4 linked regions of the Tamandua tetradactyla genome follow. The protein of the gene in region 2 interacts with the protein of the main gene of each other region in a pairwise test. Links are inferred from orthologs where the notes say so. Each region holds a gene or a part of one and is shown on either strand. Other genes may lie near its edges. The genes, in order: CINP, REL, GLYCTK and CGGBP1.

Region 1 (6,834 bases), on a different chromosome or scaffold from region 2:
TTCTCCTTTGCAGGAATAAGTTACAAAGGGGCAAGCCCCAAGATCAAGGGCTTGGCCTATTAAACAGGTTGTCCCCACTACTTGCAAGAATATCAGGAATTCCCTAGGTGGGGAAGTTTAACCTTTCTACCTTTCTTCCCAAGGGGGCTTAGTAAATACTTTTCTATTGTCTGCCCGAGGTGGGGAAGTTTAACATTTCTACTTTTCTCCCCTTCCAGGGGACTGAGCAAATACTTTTTTATTGCTTTCCCAAATTACTCTGGGATGTATTGGAGCATCACACTGACCTGTACCAACCAACAAGATCTCACTCCCTATTTAAGATTCTGTATAATTATGGTGCTCAAATTAACTGACCACACAAGTTAAACTAGATAGTGGGCTACCAAAAATATAAATTTTGCACAAAACAAACATCTCTTCCTTTGGTCTCACACACGCTTTGAGGTTTTAAAATACAGACCATATCATTCTTTACCCTGTCTTCTGGTTTACCTTAGTCCTATCCAGATCAGCTTCATTTATATCTCTAGTTGAAGTCTCTTCACATTTTTAACTTTTTAAAAAATTGCTGTATGGAGGAATGCTAACTTTCATAGTTTCAGGGCTCTGAGTCTCAGTTGCTACACAAATACCTGAAGTTCTAGGGAATGACCAGGTTATACACAGATAGTTCAGAATCTTAGAATTTAGTAATAACAGTTATTACTCTGGAATAGATGTGACTGCTATAAGAGCTTACAATCTAGGAACCTTTAAAACAGGCCCCAACCTGACAACTCATACTCTCGTCTTCTATTCTCAAAGTCTGTATATTCTAGTTAGTCCATATGAGTGAGGCGTGATAATATTTGTCGTTTTGTTTCTGACATTTCGTTCAGTATATGTCCTCAAGATCCTAGTTGTATGCCTCAGAACTTCATTACTTCTTGCATCGGCTCAATAGTCCCTTGTGTGTATACACCACAGTTCCCCTTCCATTCCAGTAGACGTACCCTTAGGCCACCTCCATCCATTGTAAATTGAGAACACTGCTGCCATAAACACCAGTAGGCAACTGTCCATTTCTGCCCCAACTCTCAGTACCTCCAAGTACAGACCTAGTAACGGGTTGTAGGATCATACGGCAACCCCTCCCTTAGCCTCCTGTGGAGTCACTACACTGTCCAGCCCCTCGGCTTCCCTACCAACAGGGACTAGGTACCTCATGCTCTCCACATTTTCTCCAGCACTTCTATCTCTGTTCATTTTAAACAGTTTTAGTCGCACATCATACAATACAACCTAAGTAAATATGCCTTTGCCATGACAATCCGGACATTTCCTTTTCTTACACAGAAAACCCCATACCCCTCCCCATGCCCCCCCCCCCCCCCACTTACTGACATCTAGTTTGGGCAATTACATTCCATGAAAGCATATTACAATGTTACTGTTAAATATAGACCCTAATTTGCATTGACAATATTTTTTTCCTGTATACATCCCAATTTCAACACCTTGCAATGTTGACATCCATTTGTTCCCTCTCATGTAAAAGCGTTTTTATATTTGTACATTTAATCACCATCACTGTCCAGTCTAGGCATCGCTAGGTTATACTGACTCAGTCTTTATCCTCTATCTTTCCTTCTGGTGTCATACGTGGGGGTGCTCATCTTATTCATCCTCTGTCTGCTCAAACCCAGCACATATTCAGGAGTTGAAAACAAAGCATGGTTCTTGAATTTAAGACACTTATGGGCTAGTAAGGAAACGGAGACAAGTAATCAGTCATAGTAACGAGCGGAGTGAGGCACAGCATAATGGTTAACAGCCCGTCCCACCTGTAGTTCAGGGGCTTAAGTGAGGCTCAAGAGAGCGGATTTACGCCCTTAGAACACTCGCTGGGTGCCAGTCTTCATTACTAGCAGAAAAATCTGTGGCAGGAATTCTGAGGGGAGTTCGGGGATTTCAGGAGGAGCTAGGCAGGGAAGGCTCAGCACCCAATGTGCTTTGCCGACACTAAATCATAACGAGGATAATAACGATTTAAGTATTAAGAACCATGCTCGCCCTTCGTATACATCGCGTTTGACTGTCACTATACAAAAAAACTGAGTCCTCGCAGACTGAGCACGAGCCCCTTTTAACCCGAAGGGAGCTTCCCAGCCTCGGTTCTAGCCCCCGGCCCCGGCCCTAACACCCGGAGCCTCCCCGCCGCGGGAAACACGCGCGTCTCACTTACCTTCCATTCCCGCGGACATCCCGAGAAGACCGAAAGCTGGTCCCCAGAAATCCGCAACGTCACTTCCGCTCTTCCCAACCCGCCTCTGCTGGTGGCTCTGCCTTTCTAGCCAGCCAGCTGCCGCGGGGCTGTGCGGGCTGTGTTGCCCTGGGAACGGGCTCCCGGCAGCCCCCGCGGCCCGGATCTGTCCCCGCCTCCTCCGGCTAGGCCGGGCCGACGAGTACCGAGGGGCTACTGTGGGAGGTGAGTCTGGCGACGCCGCTGGCGGCCCCAACGCCTGGCCGCGCGCTCTTTCCTCGCCTCCAGGTGCTGCCGCTTACGCCTTCCCGGGCCACCCTTCCCTCGCCTAGCCCCCCGGGGTCTCCGTTACCAGTCTCACCCGCACGCGCAGACGGAGGACCAGAGGCTATAGCACCCGAGTGCGGCGCTAGCTGCCTGGCGCCAAGCCCGCGGGTCCCAAGCTGGTCCTCAGGCCCCCGCCTCGTTCGCCGCGTCTGCCGGTGCTCAGCCCATTTCCGCCCCTCTCTGCCCCACCCTCGCGCCCCTTCTGCGCGGCAGGCTCGGGGCGCCGGGCGCCTGTGGCTTGTGGGTGACGGTACTTCTGTCCTCCGGACCCTCGCTGCCGCCTGCCTACCTCTGCCCACCCGCGCCTGGCATTAGGCCTTGACATGTACCCAGTAGGTGCTCGTTCCGAGGATAACTCCCGCCTCTCTCACTCGGCATTTTGTCCTGAGAGTTGAACTAGGTAGCGAGGGTTATAGAATGGGGTACCCCGGAGTCATACCGTGGCTCAGGGCGGAGCTCTGCTTCTGTGTTCTGCGGGCACGCGGCATCAACACACTGAGCTTTAGGTTCGTCGTCACTAGAACGGGGAGAATAGTTTCTACCTCTGGGCTGGTGGGAGATTAAATGAATGTTTAACTGTAAAATGCTAGGCAGGGGACCTGGCAGGCGCTGCTTTTCAATAAATGATAGCCAGCCCCATGTTGGAACCCACATCTGGGCTCTCCTGTCCTCCTTCGCTTGCCTCCCTACTTTTTTTTTTTTTAATGTATTTTCTGACTACTCATTAGTTTCTCCTTCTCCACTTGCACTTCTTTTCCCTGGCCTTTGTCCTTCCTCTCTTTCTCAGCAAGAGTCCGAAATTTTATTTTGTATTGCTGTTCTGTCCCATTTCTTAGCAGAATGTGGGGTACCTACCCGGTGCACCCTTGCCTCATCTACTGAGTGGTCAGTTGCACATGGGGTTGACTGCTTTCTTGCAGCCAGTTATGGGAAGTCCTCAAGCCCAAATCCCAGGCATTGGCAGAATCGAATAAAGCCACTGTCGTCCCTTGTGACTAGAGATAGAAAGGACTGTCATCTCCATTTTACTGATGATGAAACTGAAGCTTAGGGAGGGAGTGTCACTTGCCCACTTATGCAAGGCTTTTTGTGCTTTCTGGTACCCAGCTATGGTGCACCTTGCTGAGCCTCCCACCTTGCTTCTTTTGGTAACCAACTTACATCCCCTTCTGAGCATTAATTCAGAAATTAGTTGTTTGGGATCCATTGTGTGACAGGCCCTGGGGCCAGTCTCAAGAGATGCTGTTGTGAACCAAACAGAGACCTGCCCTCTGGGAGCAGTATAACCTCTGAGCTTTCAAACCAGAGTACTAGCAGGTCCAAGTCTAGGGCATGTGCTACCTGAGTTCTCAAAAATGGCTGGGCAGAGAGGTGGGGAAGATGGCCTAAAAAGTAGCTGCTTCTGAAGGTATGACAGATAAATAGCTTTTGTTAGGTTTAAGTTATTTTGTAGCCACATTATCTTTTAATAGAAACTGGCTCCTACTAGATTTGGTTTCCTGAAGTTATACTTCAAGTTTGAGGAGGGTCTGATTTCATATTAGCCTCTACTCTGTATATAGTTTCTACAGAATGTCTACTGGAACTTAGTGGAAAAGAAGGAAGGAAACATATCGGGCAGAGCAGTTAACTGAACTTGGAAAAGTAAGAACCGGATCAGGAAACTGATGATGAATGAAAATAAGCTTTTGTGTCAAGCAAGGAAGGATTTCTAGTCAGAGTGATGCACAGGAAACTTGAATTCAAGAGGGAGTAATTAATCGATTTTGTGAATTGAGCTATTTAAAGTAAGAATTGATTTTTTTTTAACTTTTTAAATTGTATAATATAACATATATACAAAGCAAAGAAAGAAAAAGCAATAGTTTTCAAAGCACTCTTCAGCAAGTAGTTACAGAACAGATCCCAGAGGTTGTCATGGGCTACTATTCCATCATCTCAGATTTTTCCTTCTAGCTACTCCAGAACATTGGAGGCTAGAAGGAATAAATATTTTTTTTATCATCACAATCAACTTGCATGTGTGTGTGTGTCAAAAAGGCATATGTACAAAAACAATAAATTTCAAAGCACAGTGCAACAATTAGTTGTACAACAAATTTCAGAGTTTGGGATGGGTTTCAGTTCCACAATTTTAGATTTTTACTTCCAACTGCTCTGAGGTACTGGAGACTAAAAGAAATACCAGTTTAATGATTCAGCAGTCAAACTCATTGGTTAAACCATACCTTCTCTGGATAATCCACCATCTCCTTTGATCTTTCTGTCCCACTGTTTAGGGGTATTTGGGCTATGGCCGTTCTAACTTTTTCATGTTGAAAGAGGCTGTCAGTAATATGGGGTAGGGAGATGGAATAAGCTGATGTTCTGGAGGGGCTGACCCCTCTAGGTTTCAGCACTTATCTGGTCCAGGGACCCATTGGAGGTTGTAGGTTTCTGGAAAGTTACCCTAGCGCATAGAACCTTTGTAGAATCTTATATAATACCCTAGGTGTTCTTTAGGATTGGCAGGAATGGTTTTGATTGGGGTTTGGCAAGTTATGATAGGTAGCAATGTCTCACTGAAGTTTGCATAATAGTGACCTCCAGAGTAACCTCTTGACTTTATTTGAGGTCTCTTAGCCACTGAAACCTTATTTGTTACACTTCTTTTCCCCCTTTTCGTTAGGCTGGCATTGTTGATACCATGGTGCCAGGGCCAGGCTCATACTTAGGAATCTTTCTCACGCCTCCAGGGAGGCATTCACCCCTGGAAGTCATGTCCCACGTAGTGGGGAAGGCAATGATTTCACTTGCAGAGTTGGGCTTAGAGTGAGGCCACATCTGAGCAACAAAAGAGGTCTTCTTAGGCATACCTATAGGTAGGCTAAGCTTCTCTGCTACCTACATAAGCTTTACAAGAGTAAGCCTCAAGATCAAGGTCTTGGCCTATTGATTTGGGTGTCCCTAATATTTGACACAGTATCAGGGATTCCCCAGTGGTAAAGTGTAATTGTTCCATATTTTTTCTCTTATCCCTCAAGAGACTTTACTAATACTTTTTGATTATCTGTTTGATATATTCTAGGATATATCCAGGCATGATATTAAGATATACAGGATTAAAGCCCTTCATTCTTTTTTTTTTTTTTTTTTTTTTTTTTTAAAGACAGAGAAGGAAGGAAGGATGGAAGGAAGGAAGGGAGGAAGAAAGGGAAACATCTTTAAACATTTTCTTGTTTTATTATATTTTGTTTGTTTGTTTGTTTTTTACATGGGCTGGGGCCGGGAATCGAACCGGGGTCCTCCGGCATGGCAGGCAAGCACTCTTGCCCGCTGAGCCACCGCGGCCCGCCCCCTTCATTCTTTTTCTGGGCTTCCTGTATTTCAGTAGTTTAAATGAGCTGTCCACATAGGTTGAGTTGGATTATGTGACACAGAAAAATTTAGATTCTGGACAAAATAAATCTTTCTTCCTTTGGTCCCAAAGAGTAGGTGAGGTTCTAAAATAGAATCAGTGTCTTCCTTACCCCTGTGTTCTGAATCACCTTAATCCCAACCTGATTGGCTTTGTTCTTATCTCTAAATACCAGGTTATACATATGTAAAACAGCTTCTCAAAATCCGGAAATAATAATTACCACTTTGGACTAAATGTGACTGCTATAAGAGCTTACAATCTAGTCCTCTATTTTTTTTATAAGCATTTTCTAAAGGATACCATACAATAATTGCTCTTTTGCTTCTGCTTTATTTTGCCTCGCCTAGTGTCGCACAGGTTCATTCACAATGTTGCCCGCCTCAAAACTTCACTCTTTTTTGTGGCAGCACAATATTCATTCATATGTATACACCATCATACTTCTCAGTGCATCCTTCAGCCACTACATTCATTAGGCATCACGTATAATGCCCAAAGTCCACAGTCCATCAACACTTTCAATTTTAGATAATTTCATTATTCTCAAGAGAAAGATACCAAATAAACACACCCTCACCAAATAGGAAATCTAAACCTCCCCTTAATTCTTGTCCCTCCCCCCATTATTTACCCCTGGTATTGCTGTGGTACTGCTGATGTTTTCCTTTTAAACATAACCCATAGCATGTAATAGCACTTTTCCCCCTGTGCCCTGAACTTGAATACTGTTTGTACAAGAATCATACCTTTGAAGTAGTTTATGCAAGAACTTATTTATTTATAAATATTTGTAGTATTAATAAGTGAAACACATAGGTCTTTGCAACCCCTCTCAGTCTTGTTCACTTTCAATATAAGAATA
Region 2 (7,214 bases):
ATTTAAAATTTTAAATTCAGAGTACTCAGTTAAATATGTATTTCAGATAGATAACAGATAAATATTTAGTATAAGTATGTCTCATAAAATATTTGGGACATAGTTATACTAAGAAATTATTTGCTGTTTATCTGAAATTTAACTTTATCTGTATTTTATCTGACAACCCTATTCCTGATCCCTAATAGCTTGATTTCTTACATAAATGTAAAATTCAGACACGGCTTAGATGAGAACTCAAGAAAGTAGGAAGATATGATAAAAGTCACGTGTCTACAAACATAACCATTTGCAGAGAACACAGATGAAAGTTAGAACAAAAGGAAAATCTGAGTCCTTTAAGTTCTATTAGAGAAAGACACCACCCTAGATGTTCCTAATTATGATTCATCTTATTCCTCCCCAGTTATTTCATTCACTCTTTCCCTCCACTCTGTCTATCATATATCACCTTAATTCTTTTATATCATTTATCTCTACCCTTCCACATGTTGCATTTCTGAAACAATATTTATGTTTACATAGACAGTTTTTTACTTAAAAAAACAATAATTTGCTTTAGCTATCCATTCTTAACTTCCAGCTCTAGCATTAAAAATAAGTTGAATCATATCTACAACCCAAGAGGAAAAAAAAGTTGCCTTGAAATTCATACTATAATCAAAGAGTTGGTAAAGTAGTACAGTTTACAGAAACAATTTCTTTGTGTAGTTCTTTCATTATGTGACATAGCAAAACTTTACTAAGGAAATTTTTTAATAAAAAAATTATCTAAATTTTAAAACATGTTTTATTAAAGATGGTGCTAGTTATTAGTAAACAGAGCCACAAGCCACACAAAGACAATTTGCTTCTTTTACTGGAACAATGAAAAGTTTTGAATTCACACATAAAATAGCTAATTTTACTTGTATTCAATAGAAAAAGAATGATAAATACAAAAAAAGTAATAATTGTCTAATATACATATCTTAGACAGTTTTAGGAACATTTTTCTTCACAATGCTATTCTAATTGTGTCCACAGACTGGAATCAAGGCTTTGTGGCTGTTTTGCTTTTTTTCAAAGCATTGAAAAACAGTTACTAGAGACAGAGCTGAAACCCTGAATAATTAACCTGATGACTGATCTGAACAAAATTCAGAATCACATACACTACCAAAGTCCCAGTTACTCTATCTTCCTCATGACACTCAACTAATTTTGCTTATGAGATTATGATCTATGGTACTTTTACATTATACAGAGCATATATTTCAATTACAAAAATTTGTTTACATATGACATCCGGTAAGGCCTAGCAGTTTTCAAAACACTGGATTACATTTTTAAACAACTTGCAAAATTTTAAATAATCCCATTTTAATGCAACTCTTGAAAAAAAGCAAAAAAAAGAAGAAAATCACCCTTCAACTTTCAAATTCCTCCCTGCCCCTCCAATTTAGGTAATTCTTAGTCCTCATAAAAGCAGATATAGTATCATTAAAAAGATATAGTATCATTAAAAAGCACACTTTTAAATCATGTGGTCTTATAATACTCTATATAAAAATGGCCAATTCTTTTCTCTTTTGAAAGAATTAGAAGTATTACAATACATTCATGCAATAAATTAATAAAGTTTGATTAAAACGACAGCCGCCTGACATTCTTTACTTGCAACGATCACCATTCTTTACTACTTTCATACAAAATCTCTTTTTTGATAACCAATAAATTAGCCAAACACTTAAAGTTATCTTTGTACTTTCAGTCTAAATGTGCTTTGAATTTATGAACTTAGAAGAATATCTGAAAGTTGGGGTCACTGAAGTGGGTAAAGGGAAAGTTGAAATATTTTAAACTATACTTGTATTCTCACATGAAAACCACAAAGACAAATTGAAATCAAATGTCATGTGAAACACCCCTATTTCCTTTTCAGCCTACCGTAGTATTTAAGCATTGTTCAGTTCAACCCTTTTACAAGGTCCCTTATACTTTCTACTTCCTCTTCTCTAGGAGACATCAGCCTTCTACTGAGGGTCACTGAAACAAAGTTGGGAGAATCGGAGGGGGGGAGGGTGTCGAGCATAAACAAGCCCCCTCCTCTCCAGCCTCCCAGTACAGTATTAACTGTAGTTTTAGGCTTCCCAGCGTCTTCTCAGGTGCTCCCTCGGCCTGGAAAGCGACCCTGCCCCCATCCACCGGACCAAAATCTTGGCAAAGGTCCAATTCTAACGCGGTCTACTTAATCTATCCCCTAGATTATTCGGCAGACTTGTAGATTTGAGACTCCCTTCCTTGTCCGTAAACTGTTTCCTACTAAACTCATTTCCTCCGAAACAAGAGTTTCAAACATTTACTAACTGGAAATAAACATTTACATAAGTGATATAAAGTTGTTTTTACTCCTATCCATATCATGGAAGCACAAGTACTATAAAAATCCTCTTTTCCCCTTACTTTCAATAAAGGGCGGGGGGGGGGGCAACTCGGTAAACTAAAAGCCTACTTTATTTCACAGTAAAAATCATCCCCACGTTGTTGAAGCAACATCTCCACTTAGGACAAATACCACTGACAAGTTTTAAAGCCTCGCCGCATATTGTACAACTGTCAGCACAACTGGGTTCACCTCTCGACATCTGAAATTTATTCCCGGCTCTGAAGGTTCCTCATTCCTGTTCTAAAATCTAACACTACCATTTCAGTACAAATCAGTTTTTAATGCCAGCACGACGCGTCCTCCTTGATTTAGGGTCTTCCTTCCCTAATTCTGAAATCAAGCCGTTAGGAATTTCTAAGGTTCCGGCTATTATAATAGTATCAAATTACAGAGCGTGGCTTTGATTTTGCACGCAAACCCTGCACCAGGAAACTTTTTTAAACGCTTGACAATCTGCCAGGTAAGGCGATTTTTTTTAAAGACAGAATGAGCTACAACCCAAACTCAGGAAACCAAGAGGCTCCCGCACCCTCCACCTCATTAAGCCCCCACCGTCAGAGGAGGAAGACCCCCCGGCCGAGCTCCTTCCCCTGAGCCCTTGCCCCGACATCCCGGCCCGGCCTCGCGCCACGGCCCTCGGTCCCCCTTGCCTGAAACACTCACCCGAAGCCATGGCTCCGCTCACCGCGCCTACCCGCAGGCAACCCCAAGCGTCCGGGCAGGAGGCCGCCGAAGCCAATCAGCCCGTCAGTCAGTCAGGCGACCGCGGAACCTCTGCCGGCGGGACCCCCAGTTCGCCGGACCACCCCCGGACCCTCCTCTTCTTCCCGCCCTCCCTTGAGTTTGCGGCTCACACCTTCCCACCCCCTTGATTCTCGCGCTCCGGGTCACCCAGCGTCGCCGGTCCTGGGTGCGGGAGCCAGGGGCAGGGGGCGGAGCGCGATGAGAGCCGAGAACCAGCCGGGCCGAGGAGGCGGACAGCAGGGCGGGAGGGGGATTTCCCGCGGCTGACGTCGGCCCCTCGCCACCGCCTTCCCCCGGGAGCCGGGGGCAGGGCGTTCCCGCGGCGAGCGCGCGCTCCGCCCCGCCCCTGCCACCCGCGCCCGCTCCCCGCCCCCGCGCGTGCGTCCTCCTTCTGCAGCGGGCTCGGGACTTGCGTCGCGGGAGCCCCGGATCCCGGAATGCAGAATCTTTGGGAGCGCAGGGAACGACGGGAGCCAGGAGGTGACGGTCTCGAGCGTGCGGAAGCCGCGGGCTCCGGAGAAATCCCCCTCCTCCAGATTGTTCTCCTCTGCCTGGTTTAAAGTTCAGGAGCGGGTGGGACGAGGCGGTGACGTCGAGAGGGCCGGCCGCCGGGGAGCCCTTCGGGGCGGGGCGGGCGGCGAAGTGGGGCCGGCCCACCTGAGCTGGGCGGAGGACGGTCCGGGGTTTTTGATAGGTGGTTCCCCCTCTTCCCGATTTCGCACATGCAAATCGCTGCCCCCGCGCCGGCGGGCGTCCGGGTGCGCGCAGTAGCGCAAGTGCGGAAGCGGCCGTCGCCTGTGTGCAGTATTTGTAATTCACGTATTTGCATACGGAGACCCTCACCTTCTGATTCTGCCCGTTATCTTTAAAATGCGCGGGCTCTGTTAACTTTACGTATTTTACCTACTAAAACTTTTTAAACGCGAAAGATGCGCACTGAGAATTCGTGCCATGGGTGACATGAATTGCCTCATCGTTACGCAGTGTGTTCAGGTTCAGTGAGGTAAGTGCAATGAAGTGTCACAATATCCTGGGATTTCACCGATACCCACGAGGAATGGGAGAATGGAAGAACATTTAGACTGTTATCTAATATAATTTTGTTTCCTTCACTTGTGTCAGATGCTTTACTTACCTCACCTGTGAATATTTTATTACCCTCATTTTTTATATGAGGTCATCGGAATGCAGAGAAGATACGTGAAGTTGCCCAAATGTCAGAATGCTGTTAAAAGGAAAAATAGAATTTAAACCCAAAGCTCCAGACTTTTTCCACAACCCTTTACTTCCTCAAATAAGAATAGAGAGAGAATAGGGAACATCAGCCTGCCACACAAGAGCCTTCAATTGGAGAACCCTGTTGGGGACAGAACTAAAAATAAAATCTGCCGATTCCAAAAATACCATCTTCACAAAATGTAGACAATAATGAAACAATTTTATTGAATAGGCGTTAACTCATTCTGTGATACACATCACAGGCAACATCACAGACAAACATCTAAAGAGATTATAAAAGCAAAATGAAGGAATTCATCCTTTTGTAGAGCCAGGCAGATAGCAATCCTTGCAGACCTCCTAATTTTCTTTATCCAAAGGAAAATTTAATTAAAGTTAAAAGTTTATTACTCTAAAGCTGATAGGCAGCTAGATGTTGGGGATTGTAGAGAATATATATGTGTGTGTGTGTGCTTGAGGGCTTACAGTTCTGGATACTGTTCATTCAGTTCAACAAATATCTGCTCTGTGCCAGGTGCACTTCTCGGTTGTAGCACGTACACTAGTAAACACGTGAAGTAAAATCTCTGGCTTCATGTAGCTTATGTCCTACATAAAAGACAACACGCATGTAAGAATGTAAGATCATTTCAAATACTGTTGTTAAAATATTTTACTTTATTGTTATAAAGGAAGTGGGGCAATGAGGTAGAAGATGACAGTAAGAGGGATGCACCGAGGAGGTTATGTTTGAGCTCAGTCCTCAGTGGTATAAAAGGCAGCCACAGAAAGGTTTCAGGGAAAGAACATTACAGATAGAAGAACAGCAAATGTCAAGTTCTTGAGAGAGGAAAGAGCTTATCTGAGGGACTGAAAAAAGGGCCAATAGGACATGAACAAAATGAAAGGTTGGAGTGGTAAGCAGGGCTAGATCATGTACCGCTTTGTAGACCATCATAAGGAGGTTGCATTATATCCCAGTTGCACACAAAAAGCTGCTGGAGAGTTTTAAGCACATCATTAATTTATAGTGACATTTTGTGCTGTTTATTTTTGCTGATGTATTAAACTGTTAGGATACATTAAATAGGGGCAAGAGTAAAGGGAGAGTAATTAGGAAGCTGTTGCAACAGTTTAAGTCAGAAGTGAAGTATGTGGACCAGTGTTTTAGCAGAGAAGATAATGAAGAGAGGCATTTTACAAAGTGAGATAGCCAAGTGGCTAATCATATAAAAGATGGCCTGCATCATTTGTCATCCAGGAAATGTACATAAAAAATGCATATTCCCAACAGAAGTAAGTGCATTACCATTAGATGAACAATAATTTTTAAGGCATGTTTATTCATAGTAACCAAAGATTGGAAGCAACCCAAATATTCATCAGCATTAGAATGGATCGATAAGCTGCCTATATTCATGCCATGGAATTCTCCCCTATAATAAAAAAAGAACATCCTATTGCTACACAAGAAAATGAATGAGTCTCACAAACATAAGAAATGGAAAATCCATACATAATAAATGGACAATTCATACATAAAACAGTACATCTATATGAATTCATTCAGTATGTTCTGTTCAATGTATTTGTAGTTGAAAACAGATGAAATGAAATTATGGTGATAGAGGTCAGAATATAGGTCCGTGGGGGTGGATATTGACTAGAAGTGGACCTGAGGAAACCTGTATTACTGGGAATGTTCTATATCTTGATCTGCTTGGTGGGTTACACATATTTAAAAATTCATTGAGCTCATGCTAGGACTTGTGCCCTTATGTATTTATACTGCAATTAAAAAAAAGTTGTAAGAGATTTTTGAATGTCTTTCCCCATCAAGACCATACACCCTGCACAGCCTCACCTTGAAGACTCTGCTCACCACCCACTCTTCTTCACCTCCTAAAACACACACTTTTTACTTAGTCCATCCCTCCCCATCCTTCAAGACTTGGCATATAGAAAGCCTTTCTAGATTCCCCTGAGAAATCGACTGCCCCTTCTCTGTGCAAAATAACAACCAGCAAATATTTATCATTTTGTTTACCACACTGAATTACAGTTACTTAGTTGTGTACCTGGATCCCACACTAAACTATAAAATCTCAAAAGTAGGGACTCACTTATTCCCAGTGGCAGCCACTCAGTAAATATCTGTTGAATAAATTATCCTTTGTTCCTCAGGCCTGCTTGGCTTATTGAATAGCCCACTCTGGTGAGCCTTTGGTGCCTGATACTTTGGTTCACTCCTTTGAGCCTATGGAAAACCAGAAAGTTTGATTTTATTCTGAAACTTTGTTATAACTGTAACTACTTTGTTCTGTAACTACTTGTTGAAGAGTGCTTTGAAGATTATTGCTTTTTTCTTTCTTTGCTCTGTATATGTGGTATATTATACAGTAAAAGTTTAAAAACAAAAAACTCAAGAACCAAGGTAATAGAAGAGGGCTAGGAAACAATGGATAGTGTCAGGTGAGATTAGGGAAATACTTGGAGATGGCAGGGGAAGCCCCAGGTTAATTATGGGTTACCAAGGAATCCACATTAGATGGCAGGGTGGACAGGAAATGGCAGAAAGGAAATGGCATGTCACCCTGCCAGGTGAACATCAGGACTCAGGGGGCCACAATTTAGTGATTAAAATGAAAACCCAACATCCTATCTAGATGGCATCTGTTTTTCACCACTAGGTGAGAACAAGCACAACCCTGGAGTTGGATCGGAGACCTTTCTTTTGAGCAGAGTATATAGTTCTTCTGTTAGGTGTGGTGTACTCCTTTCCCAGGTGAAAGCTGCTTGTGAAGGAGGACTGCTTAGTGATCAA
Region 3 (7,505 bases), on a different chromosome or scaffold from region 2:
CAGGTAGAGGTTTTGTCGCAGTTGGAAGCTCCGGTCCCGCACCTTCAGATGTCCGCTGCTAGGGTCCAAGGCAAGGACCCGATGCAGCATGGGGCCCGGCAGCACAGCACTCACAGCACTCTCAAACAGTTTCCGTGCATGCTCTGCCAGGGCCATGCGACTGGCCAGCCGGACCACAGAGCCTCCCCAGGGTAGCGGGCACAAGGGGGGTCTGGCCAGGCGGGACACAACCTGTAGGGCTGCCGCCATGCCTTGCTGTTCTCAGCACTGCCTGGCACCCATGGCTGCCTAGGGAGAAGAAAGCACCAGTAAGGGCCACTGCAAGGCCAAAAACAGGAAACCCCCACCCCTACCTTACAATTACCCGTCTGAAGTTTCAGGGCTGGGAGACCCCACAGCTGCTGTTGAAGGCATGGGCCATTCGCTAGCCCAAGGAGACTTCCTAAGGCCAGCAGCTGCCTGGTCTTACTCCAGTCAGAGCCCAGCCCTGCCACCCAACCTTGTCTTCCTCTTCTGCAGACCACATGCCAGGCCTCTGGACACTTTGCACTGAGTCCAAAGTTTCTGTTAGCTGAGCCCTCTCCTACGTCACCCCCTCTGGCTGGGAGTTAATAATCCACAGAGGGAGCAATCCCTATCAGTAGGCTCCTCCCTACCCCTTTTCCACCTCCTGCACTTCTGAGCCCTCACCCAGAGGCAACGCCTCTTCCTGGCACTCCTTCCTTGCCTCTTTACCACCTCTTCCGCCAGGAGATTGTTGGTTGTCCCACCGACTAACCCTGAGTCCAGTGACTTCCAGCCTTCTCTATTTCATTACCTCAAGAAATGGGATGGAGAGCCTGGGAAAGCTGTGTCTGTGTGGAGAGGCTTCAGGCTCACCAGGGTACTACCAGAACAGGCCCAGAGCAAATCCTCAGGACATGCAGCCTTAAAAATCCCAAAGCTCTGGCCAGTCTAGCTAGAATTCAGGTTCAAACCATAAATGGCAGCCAAATCTGGTTCAGGGTGGAACCTTATGGAAGTTCCCAGGCACGACATGAAGCCATGTATTGGGGAGCTAAGACAGGAAAGGATGCTCTTCCACCCACATAACTAGCCAGACCCACTTCTGCCAAGAACCCCCGCGTTGGCTGCAAGATTATAAAACAAGTCCTGGGTCACATCTTCCATAGTGATGAGAGTCCAGCAGCTGGAGCAGGCAAGCCAGGATTTCACAGCTGGGCCCAAACAGTCATCTTCCCCATTAGACAACACAAAAGCTAGAAATGCCCTGGGGTGACAGTCAGGAGATGGTGAGGGGTTTCCAGACAACAAAGCCCCAAAGGCATATACTTTAGTAAAAGCCTATGGTAAATGCTGCAAGCTAATTTTATCAGCAAGCATGGATTGAGCAGGGGAAGGAAGCTGGGAATTGGGGTTCTAGCTTTACTATAGGTTTTCTGAATGGCTAGGAAAGCTCCATATCTCTTATTAGGTCTTATCTGCAAAATAAGTTAGGTTGAAACTAAAACTAATGCTCTTCCCCTGACACCCTAGAGCTTCTAACAGTGTTCACTGTAACACTGGAAACCTGGACCCCAAAGGCCAGTTTACCTCACACACAAATAGCCTGGCAACTTCTAGCCCTGTGCAATTTAGCCTGCATAGTTCTTAGCTTTCCCATCAGCAAAAGAAGACCAGCCCTACTGGATTTCTATTCCAAAAGGGAATACAGAGAGTCCTGGCACGGGGGACTCTTAAAATGGTGTCCAGCTTTTGCTAGAGGAACACCTAGCCTCACCCAATTGGAAAGGGGCTAAAGCATCTTAGCATCTAGCAATACTTGGTTTTGAGCATGTAGGCAAATTCTGTAATTTGTTCCCAAAGATCTAGAGGACCCCAGCCTTGCTACTGGATGCCAGAGCCTAGAGCAGGGAGGCATTCAAGGCTAGAGTTGCCAGACAGAATACAGGACGTCCAGTTAAATTTGAATTTCAAATGAACAACGAATCGTTGTAGGATAGGTATGAGATATACTTATACTGAAAAATTCCTCGATTTTTTTAAATTCAAATTTAACTGGACATCGTGTATTTATATTTGCTAAATTTAAGAACCCTACAAGACGTCCTTAAACTTCGGGCCCATACAGTGCGAGGGCCGGAAATCATAAGAAAGCCTCGACTTCGCCACCAAGTAGGATGGAGCCATTTCCGGCTTTCACCTGCCTGTCTCGGGCCCCAGAGGTGACGTCACCCTCCAGCTCGGGCTTCTGGCCTGCCAAGAAAATGGCTCCCGCGGGACGTCGGGTGGTGACAGGAGGTAAGAGACCTCTGCCATTCAGAGCCCCGTCACCCAACCCCAGGACTCACTTCCGGGGACCACGAGAACCCTCACTGCGCAGACTCACAGCCCAGCAGCTTCCCGCGCTGGAGGCCGGAAGTACTTGCGGGTAGCGGAATCCGGAAGTGAGGGGGAGGTGCCGGGTGCCAGCTAGGCTGTGCTCGGGAAGCTGTTGGAACTCTTGGGTCTCGGTCAGGGTAGTCGTGACTACGTGGGGTGCTGCCTAGAGGCCTAGAAGCCTCACTTTCTTCATCTCTACAATGGGACTAACAATCCCCGCCTGACCGGATTGGTGTGGTCCGTCCGTCCTTTATCCTATAGGATCCAATCAGAAGGTAAAGACATGCCGAGCCCTGTTAGATGCAAGGCACTGGGCTGAGCAAGCGGGTTGACGATCACTCCCTCTCTGGAACCAACCCCTTCCGGGGCTGGATTAAGTCGTGGCCCTACCCCTATTGGCCCTTCCTCACCGTGACAATCCCACAACTCGCTGGTTCCCCCTAAAGTGCCACCAAATACAGTTCTGGCTCAACAAGAGTTCTGTTCCGTGATCCTCAAATTACTACATGTTTCGTGACTGCGAATGTCCCTGGTCTCGCCATCTGTGCTCTCAGTCTACGCACTGAGCCGGGCTTGATGTCTTCCCATATTCAAAAGGCAAGTCCCGACCAGACTCCAAGGCACAGAAGAGTACTGTCTCTATTTAACTGACGTGTTATCGGGAAGATGGAATTTGGGGTTACGTCACACATGATACTGCAGATTTCTGAAACTCTTATTGAAATGTTTCTCTCCACCCTGCTCCATCTGGCAGCTGCAGCATTTTTCCGTTGTTCTCCAGACCATGTCTTGTCATGAACTACTCTCCCCCCTCACCCAGCCTCCTGCCCTTCCCAGCTCTCCCAGTTGCGTTTTTCTTTGCCTTTATAATAAAGGATATTTTATTTTCTACCAGTCTCTCCTCATTGCTTGCCCACCCATCAGCAGAACAAGGTGCCTTCAGAAGGACCTGGTCTCTTTAGAAATGGGGGAGATTATAAATACTTAAAAATTCATAGCTTTTTCTTACTTATAGTAAGCTGTCTTCATCCATTTATTCATTCCTCCCATCATTCAACAGACATTTCCTGAGTGCCTCTGTGTAGGTTAAATGCCAAATACTGGGATATTATTACTTGGGAAATTCACTCTGCTTTTGTGATTACTTTCCCCCATTGGGAGTGTAAATTTGAACACCTCTTTCATTTAGTGCCAGAAGCACTCATAAAACAAACACCATTTACTTTGCCAGTGCTATTCCATCAAAGTGTAAGTAGGAAACTAATTGTACCTATTTTTTTAAAGCCCCTACCCCTGCAGCTACTCACAAGATGGCTTTAACAACAGCAAGGGTTAAGATACCCGCTAGACTTGTGAGCTCCTGGAAAGTGGTGACATGGTTTAATTTGTATTTACATTTCTGTTCGTCTGCATAGGACCAGGCACAAATAGAAGTTGGCTTTTTTTTTTTTTAAATGAATGAATAGGGGAATAGTGAAGTGCTTGGCTGCAAAGTGCTGCAGACCCTGGGTAGGAACAATTCTACAAAATGAAGAGAAATGGTGCTGGGTAGAATCAGAAAGCTTCATGAAGGAGTGGAATTTAGGTCTGAGAAAACTATTAGACTTATCAGAATGCTTACACATATCTTGATAGTGGATATGAATAGTCTACAGTCTTTTATAAAAAGTGTAATTTAGCAGTAAGTGTCAATATCAGGCAATTTCACTCCAAAGAAATAATAAGGCACGTACACAAAGATAGAAATGAAGAGCTAATATTCAGCCCAGAAATTTGACGACTATAAAACAATCTAAATATCCATTGATAAGATAATTTATACAAATAAATTATAGTACTTCTAAACATATTAAAATAATGTCATCCCTAATATATTAAGACTGCATATAAATTATTTTAGTTTTTGAGATGCTATTTTATGACTCAAAGTTTATGTAGAATATAAGCTTTCCCCATTATAAAAGCAAGCAGATGGAAAGAAGGCAATGGAGGTGGGGTATGCTATTCATATAGCCTACAAAGGAGGGTTACTGAATGTGTCTGTTTAGATTATGTTTTCATTTAAATGGTCCATTTTAAAGCATAGGGAGAGGTTGTTCTTGGATGATGCTGAGCAGTCAGTGACCTGGGGAAGGTGGGAATAGTGGTACCCAACTCAACTAACAATGCTGAATCTCTGAAACTCACCATGGGTCAAATACTTGGCCTCTGAAACTCTCAAATCTGCCCTGTCCAAGCTCAAGGGGTGGACATCAGAAGTAGTGATGAATGCAAATTTGGGAGAATAGTACTTAATTTTGGACTTCCCAGCCTGGAACTTCCCTGTAAACAAATACTGCTTATTACGGAAGCAGATTGCGGGTGATAGCCATTTGAGGTTTTAGGTGCCTGGAGAGGTACAAGGTGTTAGTTCGCTTCATCACCATAGCAGAGCTGACATAGTTATATCCATCCTGATGTCCTTGAACACCAAACCAGGGAATTTCATTCAGTGTGGTGATCAACAGTGCTGTTCATCAAGTAAGTTCAGTTCACCCCCTTTCCAGGCGTGTAGTAGGGTAACCGAGAAATTGGGATTTGAGGGATGCTTTTGATTACTGAATTATTGTATAGATGCTTCTTTTACTTTCCAGTATATTAGAGTAGAAAGAGGGAAATACCTGAAATCTTTGAATTGTAATCCAGCTGCCTTGACCTTTAATAATGATTGTAAAGCCTTTATCTTGTGCCCTTGTGATTGTAAAAACCTTGTGACTAACCTTCACTTGTACCCATTTATCCAGTTTTTCGACTTTGGAGTGTGTGATCACTAAAGACAGCCCCTAATGTTTATGAAGGGTCCTGGGTCAGCCCAGAACTAACCCATCCCAAGTCCAAAATTATCTTGATAACCAAAACTAGATCTAACCAAAATGGGCCTACCTGACGTGTGTAGCAGTTAGACTTTAACCTACAAGTCACCTATACCTCATTATAATACTAAAAATCACATCCGTCATATTGACTGCCATTTTCTCACATATGTCTTGTGAATAAGCATGTAATCAATCTGCACATGCTCAATAATCAGATCACCTCTAGTTAAATCATCTGGGGCCATCAAGCTCATTATCCTAAAACCTGTCAATCTTTTAATACTATAGAACTATCAGGATTACTGCAGTTGGGAGAGACAGATTTTTGGGCTGACGGGCCATCTGATTTCCTGCTACGTGCCTAGCAATAAACTTTTTCACTCTTTGAAACCCTGGTGTCTCTGGAACTGGTCATTTGAGCGCACAGGCAAGAATCTACCGTGTGCTCTGGTAACAGCAGGATTGTACTTCTTGACCCTCTTGTGGTTGAGGGGGATGATGTGACTAGTCCTGACCAATGAGTTGTGAGTGGAAGTGGTGTGAGTCATTTCTGGGTATTTAATTGCCCATTTGAGACCATCCTGAGCATTTTTCCCCTTGAACCTGGCAATTATCAACATTCAAGTTGGTGGCATCTCCCTCAACCTGAGACCCTGAGTGACGTGATGATAACACCCACCCTTCCAACCTATTATGTGAATATAGCAAAAGTGGGAAATAAGCCTTTGATGTTTTAAGTCCCTAAAATATGCGAGTTTGTGTTATTGCACCATAACCTGGCCTATCCCGGTTGATAAACTCACTTTATCCTCTTGACACATAGTTTCAAAAATTCCTTCTATAGCTTAGAAGCTTGATCTACTTTTGTTGCTATGAGGTCATCCATGAAGTATTTGTTCTCATCGGCATTCATCTTTCCAGACGTATCAACAGGTCTTGGAATACACACAGCATTGATCCCAGCATACTGTTTAATGAAGTACAGAACAACGTGGCAGAGATAAAGAACACTTTGCTCTTTATCTACAAACTGTCAACTGAGAAATAACAAACTAAGCTGCAAGGCAACAAAGGCATTTATTTGGGAATTTTAGAATAGCAATTTGGGGGAGCACAGATTTAGGTAGCAACCAGGATCCTGTCCCTCTTGGAATTTCCAGGCAAGGGTGTTTAAAGAAAAAGTTTAAATTGTTTGTGGTTGGTGGCTATTTGGGGGTATTCCAGTAATCCATCAGGTTCGATAGTTAACTGAGTTACTTATTTTGTGGTTTGTTTTATAGATGGACCTCTTTGGGGCTTGAGGAACGTTGTTGCTTGAGGCTTTGAATACTTTGGCAGTGTATGTTATTTGGTTGGTATTTGCCTTAGAGTAATCTCCAGAATGAACTCTGACTCCATTTTCTTTTTAAACATTCTTTATTGTGAAATACAACATATATACAAAAAAGCAATAAATTTCAAAGTACATTGTAACAAGTAGTTATAGAACAGATTTCAGAGTTTGGTATGGGTTATGGTTCCATAGTTTTAGGTTTTTCCTTCTAGCTGCTCCCAGACACTAGAGACTAAAAGAAATATCAATATGATTCAGCAGTCATACTCACTGGTTAAATACTATCTTCTCTTTTATAACTCCTCCTTCTCCTTTGATCCTTCTCCCAATCTTTAGGGGTATTTGGGCTCTGCCCATTCTAACTTTTTCATGTTGAAAAGGGGTGTAGATAATATGGGATGGGGGATAGAATTAGTTGATGTTCTTGGAGAGGCTGGCCCCTCTGGGTTTCAGGACTTATCTGGCCTAGGAACCCATCTGGAGGTTGTAGGTTTCTGGAAAGTCAACTTAGTATGTGAAACATTTGTAAACTCTCAGATAGAGCCCTAAGTGTTCTTTAGGGTTAACAGGAATGATGTTGGTTGGGGTTTAGCAAACTGTGGTAATTAGCAGTATCTAGGTGAAGGTTGAGTAAGAGTAGCCTCCAGAATAGCCTCTGGACTCTATTTGAACTCTCTTAGCTATTGATACTTATTGTGTTACATTTCTTTTCCTCCTTTGGGTCAGGAAGGCATTGTCAATCCCATGGTACCAGGGCCAGGCTCATCCCTGGGAGTCACGTCCCACATTGTCAGGGAGACCTCCACTCCTGGATGTCTAACTCCATTTTAAATCTCTTAGCCATAATAACTCTATTTTTTTTTTTTTTTTTTTTTTTTTTACTTTTTACAAAACCAAGGAGAGTCCGGTGCACTGATTAATGCCACAAAGCAAGA
Region 4 (7,640 bases), on a different chromosome or scaffold from region 2:
AGGGGAGTCACATACAAAGCAGTCTTAGAACGGTTTCGAGCAGGTGGTGCTGTTACTACAAATCGTTCCATTCTGACTTTGAATAAGGCTCTTTGAAGACAAAAGAAACAAAGACAAGTATTACTATGACAGTTAATTCCAGAAGTAATTAACAATGTGAGGCAGGTATAAAAAGCTAAGATTAAAGACTTCAAACAAATTAAATCAGCAGAATGTGTGTCCATTAAGTCATAAATTAACTGGAAAATTTAAGGGAAGGCAAAACCAGAACAAGTTACTAAAATAACAACTAGGTCCATTCCTTAATTTTCATGTAATTCAAGTAAATTAGAACAATGAAACAAGAACTCAAATTATCCCAGATATTGCTATCTTTTGGGAAAACCTAATCAAAAGCCAACATTTGGGGTATTAATTATGTTAATCTTATCCAATTTGATATGCATTCAAGTTTGAAAGAGTTTCTGTCCCTTCACAATTCTGGGACAAATGAGGTTAAGAACAAAATTGTAGGGAATTGTGTACAAAGTACATTCAAACAGGTGGGCCACTAAACTGGTATAATTCTCTATGAAAATGAAGAGAATTTCTAAATTGTTCTGAGAACAACAACAACAAAAAAACTAAGAAAGAACAAAGAGCAAATACAATTAACAGCAGCAACAGCGGCATTAAATTTTCAAGTCAACAAATAGAGTCAAAGTAAGTTATTTTTTAAGGCATGTATACTTTCCTAACTTTTCCAAAAGGTGATATTTAAGATATACGAAGTGCTTTTCCTCTAACACTTTTTTACTTCTTTCTTTCATTAAAGACTAATAATTACACTTGTTAACATTTATTTCACTTACTAACCAGTAAGTACAAAATTGAGAACTCAACATAGTGCCCAGCATATGAAAATGCTCAATCAAAACTTGCTCATATAAGTATATGAACATCTTCAAATTTGTCCGAATATCTAACTCAGTAGCATCTTGATAAATTTCTCAATTTGTCCTAACAACAAACTTTTATAACTGGACTAAGTGCCAAAATAATATTGTTAGGGCACTGAAAACTTGAGATAATAAATACATGTCAGTTAATGACAAATGGTCAAATCAGTATTGGTAAGTCTTTGTTTTCTCTGGCGCCATGCTTTTAGGCTAAGTGATAAACATTTAAGATAAACTATATTTAAGAAATGAAAATTAATTTGAAGGAATTCAAGATAAATTCTATTCTGTATAAATATGTTAGAGAAAACTTCTAAAGTGTGCTCAAAGAACTACGCTTTGTAAGTTTAATCAGAAACAACAGAGTATTCCATAAACCCATATTAGAAAATTAATAGCTGGATAACATGAAAGTTGAATATTCACACAGATACCTCAGATTTAATCATACTTCTTTCTTTCATTAAAAAAAATTTTATGTCATTCTCACGTGCCAATCCTGTGTTAGGCCAAGGGTTTACAATGGTAGTAAGACATCTATTACTCTTGCCCAGAATTAAGTGAATTATCAACTATCATTACATGTTTGTACTTTAAAGGTATGTGTTTTATACTCCTATGGCATTAAGTCCCAATAATGAATAATTAATGATTCTAAACTAGTTATGAAAAACATTAAATATTTGTCTAGTAATACCTAAACCTTCCTTTCTATCTGAAAGTTCTTCTGTCTTTAAATATTTGAATTTCAAACTTTAAAACAATAAACAAGTACATAATTCTCTGAAGCGTAAAATGCTCAATCACTTGTACTAAGGTGAAAGACCTATGCTCTAATGTCTTGTAACTTTCAAAAGGTCTGTACCACTGCAGAGACAATAAACCGACCCAACAGACGCTGAGGTTTACAGCTCCAAAGAACAAAAATATTTTCAATAAAGATTTTTTAAAAAACAAACGAAGTTAAAAAGTTGAGAGCAGGATTTATATAGCAAAAGAGAAGGAGAAATCATTTACTGGATTAAATAAAAAGAAAGAAAAAAAGAAATAAAACACTCATTTCACGTTTCCAAGTTTAAACGTTTTACCGGATTAGTTTCCAGTTTTTTCGTATTGACACTTAGTAGTGAAGGATCTCCAGCGCAAAACCAGAGTCGCCTGAAATCCTGGCACTTTCTGATTGTTCAAACTCGGAGATGCCTCCAAATCAGTTTTTCAACAAGTGGTGGTGGGGAAATAGTTTCTGGGCTTGCACCCTATTTTCCCTGCGATGCCGGAAAGTCATGCCTTTACTGTAAAACAGGAAAATCAAATGGAAAGAAAAAAAATGGGGGTAGGATGAGAAAGAAAAGATGAACAAGTATGTCAACAACAGCCACCCGGCAGGTGTCTCAAAAATCGCTCTCTTAAGGTAACTCCATATCACAAACCCATATCTCAAAGCTTAACTCACTATCCCCACCCCATCTCCTCCTGTCCCTTTCTCAGTTGTCTGTCCCCTTCTGCACCTCCTCGCGCTTCCCAGGGCCCAAGGTTCGGGGGGCGGGGAGCGAAAGGCGAGGCGCGGCACGTTCCCGGGCGTCTGAACTCCCTCTTTCCGCGCCGAGCCCAGCACGCGAGCCCTACATTGCCCAGGCTCCGCTAGCTGGGCAGGGCCGGGTCCCTGGGCCCGCGAAGTCGGCAGCGGAGTTGGCGGCTCTCAAGGGAGGAGGTTGCAGGCTCCGGGCGGAGGCGGCCGCTGACAGGCTTCCGTCTCCTCCCTCTTCCTCCCGCCGACAACCGCGCCACGGCCCCGCCCCCGACTCCCGTTTCAGGACGGAAGGCCCCTGGCCCACAGCCTGCACCAACGGCCGGGCCCACCCTCAATCTCCCCCACCTCCTCGGTACCGTAGGATCTGGGTCGCCGCTAGGGGAAGTGGACGAGACCAAGCCGAAAAAGAAAGGAGGAAGAAAAGGACAAGAGCGTGAAGGAGGAAGAAATCCAGTCGCCGTCGCCGCCGTCGTCGCCGTTCCTCGGTCCAGCCCCGCGGCGGCCGCCGTATCCCCTACCGCGCCCCGTCCTCCTGCACCGCCTATGGCAGAGCCGAGTAGGCGGTCCCCAGCAACCGCCGAGCAGTATTGACCAACGGACAGTGAACCTATCAAACAGACGGCTGGTTTGACCAATGGCCATAGGAGGGCGGGCATAAACATGACTGGCGGCTAAAATAGCCCAATGACAACTGGGGGCGTGGGTGGGCGGAGCCGGAAGTAGAGCCCAGCCGAGAGGCCCCTGTCCGGCTGAGGCGGAGAGAAGGGGGAGGAACTAGAAGAGGAGGAGGGGGAGGAGGGAGAGGAGGAGGAGGAGGAGGAGGAGGAGGAGGAGGTTAGTCAAGGCAGCTACGGCGGCGGCGGCGGCGGCGGCGGCGGCGGCGCAGGGGTTGGTACGCGCTGGGCAGCGAGAGCCTCATGGCGGAGGAAGAGAGCGACCAAGAGGCCGAACGCCTCGGAGAGGAGCTCGTGGCCATTGTGGAGTCTCCGCCTAGCCCTGTGGGGCTTAAAGCTGCGGGCGACGGCGGAGGCGGCGCTGGCGGCGGCGGTGACGGCGGCTGCGGCGGCGGGATCAGCAGTCGGGATTACTGCCGACGCTTCTGTCAGGTGAGGCGTCCTCCAGCCGCCCTGTCTGGTCACCCCCAGTTCTGGGCCTCCTTGCGTCTTCGGGACTTCGTGTCCCCAGGGTGGGCCGTGTCGGGTGCTTGCTTTTCCACCCCAACATGAGGGTGAGGGTGAAGCTCACCCTCCACCTAGCGGGCTTGGAGTGGGGGGTGGGGGTGACCCGCAGGTTTAGAGTTGCTGAGAAAGTGAGGGTTTGTCGGAGGTTAGGGACGGGTGGGAGGGTCAGCTGGCAGGAAAGGTCCGTACTGACAAGCCTTCCTTACCACCGAACAGACCTTTCCTGCCCGAGGGTCCCGCCTTTCTTGTGTTTCTTACCCTGTTTGTCTCACCTTCTTTTGAATCCTAGTAAAATTTCCTGTCTCCCCTTCTCCGCCCCTTGCCCCCCATTCTCTTTTTCGGGAATGGGAGGCATGCCATCGCTCTACCGCCCCCTCTCCTGTCATCGCCTCCCCTCCCCCTCTATTAGGGTCTCCTGTCATTCTGTCTCAATTTCCCGCTGGGCCACTTTGACTCCAGTTGGCTTTAGCGCTGACCCACAGTAGTTTAGTTACTTTTTTGGGGGTGGAGGAAAGTGTTGAGGCAGTGTAATTGCCATCTTTTATTTTCTTACCCATTTCCCCAACACACACACACTTTCTCTTTTAATTAACTGTTCTTAGAGGAAAGTCGTTTTTCTTAAGTTGCTGCTCGGAACACAATTCCACCTCCCTTTATCCTTTAAATTACAGTGTATTTCATGTAGCTTGTGAAATATAATGTCCAAACACTGTCAGCAAATTATTTCCTTTACTTAGTCGACTGCCTCTACGATTTGTTATGGTTTAAAGTGTTTGAATAATGCATTATAGCTGTACCAGAGTGCTTGTCTGGAGGCAAAATTTGTGTAAACTGCATACATATCTATTTACATTTATAGTTTAAATGTTTTGTTTTCATACACAACCCTCTTTTGCAAACATGTGGGAAAAATTTTTAAACACGGCTTTTCATCCTCTCATCCCTTCCACCTCTGCTTTTTATATTTATTATCTTGGATGCACCGTGGTCAAAATCCTGGTTCCACCACTTCCTAACTGTGTGATCTCGATCATTTTAATTAACCTTGCTGTGACTGAGTTTCTTCTCTGTCAAATAGGGATAATAGTTAAATGAGTGAATATGCATAGGGTTTGCATCAGTTGGCTGTTCATTTCATTCTGGTAATAAGTAGGAATTAAAGTTAATAAGAAGTGAACATTTTACTGGCATTTGATTTTATGCCCTTCCAAGCATTGAAAGAAAAAGCATGGAGTTGCCAGTTTCAGGTAAGTTTTTAATGCTTTAATTTGTCTCGATTTAATTTTTTTTCCAGTGTCAAAGAAAAGTTGGTTTGAAGGTGGAAATTGTTTTGATCTGGAAGGAGTGCCAGTTTTCATTGGCATTGCCATGTATTTAGTGACTTTCTTGAAAATATATTTATTTTTGGTATATGGCATTTGCTAGATATAGAGGTTCAGTGTCTTTAGAACACTTGTTTGCTAACTATATGTTTCATTTCTAAAAACTATACTATCGGTAGGCTCAGTATCTACAGGAAATTTAAACTGAGGATTGGGTTACAATTGATCTTTTTAATATATTGATTGATAGAAAGTATTTTTTCTTTTTTCTTTATTTTGATTTATATATCGTTAATGACCAAATTGTTTTTGGTTGCATCTAGCCTTGTTCATTTATTGATCAGATAGTACTTAATTGAGGTAGAATTTGAGATTTTATTTGAGGACTAGAAAATTTTGCAGAACTTTTAACTATTCTTATTGTTTCTTAAAATCAGTTTTTAAGAGCAAATGAAACTGATAATGTATACATTTCCATACTCCTAATATACAAGGATATGAAAGCAAGAAGCACTTTAAAAACTTCTATTTTATGTCACCTAATTATGGGTGTTGTATTAACATACTTTCATGCTACCAATTTTTACCTGAAACCTCATTACAAATTTTATAATATTCTAGTTTACCAATACATTTATTCTTAGGTTCCTGTCCTGGTACCACCTTGCAAGCAGATTTTGTGAACTCCTTTTTTGTCTTAAAGCTTTTAGTTGGAATAAAAAATCACTTGCATTAAGTGGAGTTTTACTCACTGATTATCAAAATTCTATTACAGTGATTCTCAGTGTTATTTGCCAATAAGGGGAGCAGTGGATTATATAATATAATTTCCAGTCAAAGAGTTTAATTTTAAGATTTGTTTTCCTAATATTTACTGAAGGTAATATGAAGTAACTTGCATTCATTAGTAAAAATGACTTTAATTGTGAGTAATCCATAAAGTACATAATATGCACTTGGGTAGGTGACTGTTAACTAAATGTATGAATTATACGCACAGTCTTGTGGAGTTGAGATGAATGGCTCAAATTTATTTTCCTCCTTTTGTGAGGGAAATATGAATCAAAATTTCTTGGCAGTTAGGTAGGTAGGTGAAGGGAAAGAGGAAGAAGCACATCTTTTCAAGAGAGCTTCTAATGTCTTTTACCACAAAGAAAAGTAAAACAGAAGACAATAAATAAGTGATATAGTGTGCATGTGTTTGATGATATACTTTTCTATTTGAGAAATATTACCAGTAATTATAAAATTTCAGGCTAACAGAATAAGATTTCAGCTGGTTTTTGAAAGATGGATTTGGAACATTGAAGTGCTGCTGTCCAAAAGTTACATAGTGTCAATAATGTTGGGCTAGTTGTCCCTAACACATTCTTCCTTGACTTTTATTAGCAGTCTCAACCATCCTTAGTAGAATTGGCCCTTAATTGATATTTAATTTTGCTTCCAGGAGGAAAGGAACGGGGAAATAACTTTTATTGAAGGCCTACCAACTCTTAGGGTCATTTAATCCATGAAGCAAAACCTTGAGGTATATTTTATTATGCATATTAAATAGTTGAAGTTGAAAAGTAATCCAGCTAATTTCTGGTAGGTGGATGATTAAGTTTGAACCTGGCTTTCAGTTTCTACTGAAAGGCATACTAAAATTACAATAAATCCTCAAACATAAATCAGATTTTTCTTTGGCCTAATTATGGGGAAAATTAGGAGAAGCTGGTGAATGGGAAACAAAGTTGCTGGAAATTGTCAAGGAATCATGGATGAAAAAGTTTAAAAAGTACTCTTTCATTATGCCTCAGAAAAAAAATATTATTGTCTTTTCGACCTGTTAGTGAACGTTTCTGCAGTTCCTGAAAGCTGGAATAATTCAACTTATTTTACCACTAAATATATTTAATTTTTTTATATAATAAATTGATTGCAATCTTGGTGAGTTTCTTCTTAGTTTAGCACGAGAAGGAATTTAGTGAGTGATAAATAAGTATTTGTGGAAACACTTGATATCTTAATTGAAATAGAACTTTAAATTATTTCTTATTGCAGTGGGTTAAATTACCATTCCAAGAGGATATTATGAGTATAAAATTAGAGAATGAATATAAAGTACTAGTACTGTACTTAGCACATAGAAAGGGGCATAAATAGTAGAAGTTATTTCTGTTTCTACTATGAGAAATATTCTCAGGGTTTAAGAGGAAAATTAGAGATAATTTAATCTATAAATTGCTTAGAGTTTGTATCCTAACTTTAGAGAAAATTTAGAATGTTCAACAATTCTAAATTTCTGTTAATTTGCTAGAAAAGCCTCATGTTCCTGGTGAAGCACTAAATGATTTGGAAAACAACTACGTTATCTCTGTGCCAGGAGTTCTCAACTGGAGGAGATTTTTTCACTGTAGGGGACACTTGGCAATATCTGGAGGCATTTTCAATGCTGATACCTAATTGGTAAAGGCCAGGGATGCTACAGAGCATGTTATAATCCATAGGACATCACCCACAACAAATTGTCATGGTCCAAAATCAGTAGTGCCAAAGTTGAGAGATCCTACTATGCTCTTAAAAATGGCAAAAAATTATTTAATAATCCTGAAATAATTTTAAAACAATTATTGCATACTAAACACTATAATAGGTGCCTAAGAAGCAATAAACAGCAATATGTTTT

Evidence for each region.
Region 1: the proteins of REL (region 2) and CINP interact in binary tests that used the Homo sapiens proteins (3 or more experiments, as listed by UniProt). The two-hybrid records come from large-scale screens. The link is inferred for Tamandua tetradactyla from reciprocal best matches to the Homo sapiens genes REL and CINP.
Region 3: the proteins of REL (region 2) and GLYCTK interact in binary tests that used the Homo sapiens proteins (3 or more experiments, as listed by UniProt). The two-hybrid records come from large-scale screens. The link is inferred for Tamandua tetradactyla from reciprocal best matches to the Homo sapiens genes REL and GLYCTK.
Region 4: the proteins of REL (region 2) and CGGBP1 interact in binary tests that used the Homo sapiens proteins (3 or more experiments, as listed by UniProt). The link is inferred for Tamandua tetradactyla from reciprocal best matches to the Homo sapiens genes REL and CGGBP1.

The regions. Positions count from the first base shown.
Region 1 is NC_135338.1:63,945,601-63,952,434, forward strand, and holds the start of CINP (cyclin-dependent kinase 2-interacting protein), read right to left. Parts: upstream 3,013-6,834; 5' UTR 2,951-3,012; coding exon 2,902-2,950; intron 2,534-2,901; exon of another isoform or gene 2,345-2,533; intron 2,333-2,344; exon of another isoform or gene 2,247-2,332; coding exon of another isoform or gene 2,228-2,246; intron 1,586-2,227; exon of another isoform or gene 1,534-1,585; coding exon of another isoform or gene 1,500-1,533; intron 1-1,499. UniProt on the Homo sapiens protein: Component of the DNA replication complex, which interacts with two kinases, CDK2 and CDC7, thereby providing a functional and physical link between CDK2 and CDC7 during firing of the origins of replication.
Region 2 is NC_135343.1:33,244,006-33,251,219, reverse strand, and holds the start of REL (proto-oncogene c-Rel), read right to left. Parts: upstream 3,021-7,214; 5' UTR 1-3,020. UniProt on the Homo sapiens protein: Proto-oncogene that may play a role in differentiation and lymphopoiesis.
Region 3 is NC_135341.1:33,580,768-33,588,272, forward strand, and holds the start of GLYCTK (glycerate kinase), read right to left. Parts: upstream 3,013-7,505; 5' UTR 2,793-3,012; intron 2,754-2,792; exon of another isoform or gene 2,352-2,753; intron 2,346-2,351; exon of another isoform or gene 2,320-2,345; coding exon of another isoform or gene 2,204-2,319; intron 2,198-2,203; exon of another isoform or gene 818-2,197; intron 807-817; exon of another isoform or gene 365-806; intron 289-364; 5' UTR 250-288; coding exon 1-249.
Region 4 is NC_135336.1:58,633,245-58,640,884, reverse strand, and holds the start of CGGBP1 (CGG triplet repeat-binding protein 1), read right to left. Parts: upstream 3,021-7,640; 5' UTR 2,815-3,020; intron 2,702-2,814; exon of another isoform or gene 2,565-2,701; intron 2,559-2,564; exon of another isoform or gene 2,447-2,558; intron 2,231-2,446; 5' UTR 2,027-2,230; intron 91-2,026; 5' UTR 72-90; coding exon 1-71. Other genes in the region: ZNF654 (zinc finger protein 654), read left to right, coding at 3,387-3,575. UniProt on the Homo sapiens protein: Binds to nonmethylated 5'-d(CGG)(n)-3' trinucleotide repeats in the FMR1 promoter. May play a role in regulating FMR1 promoter.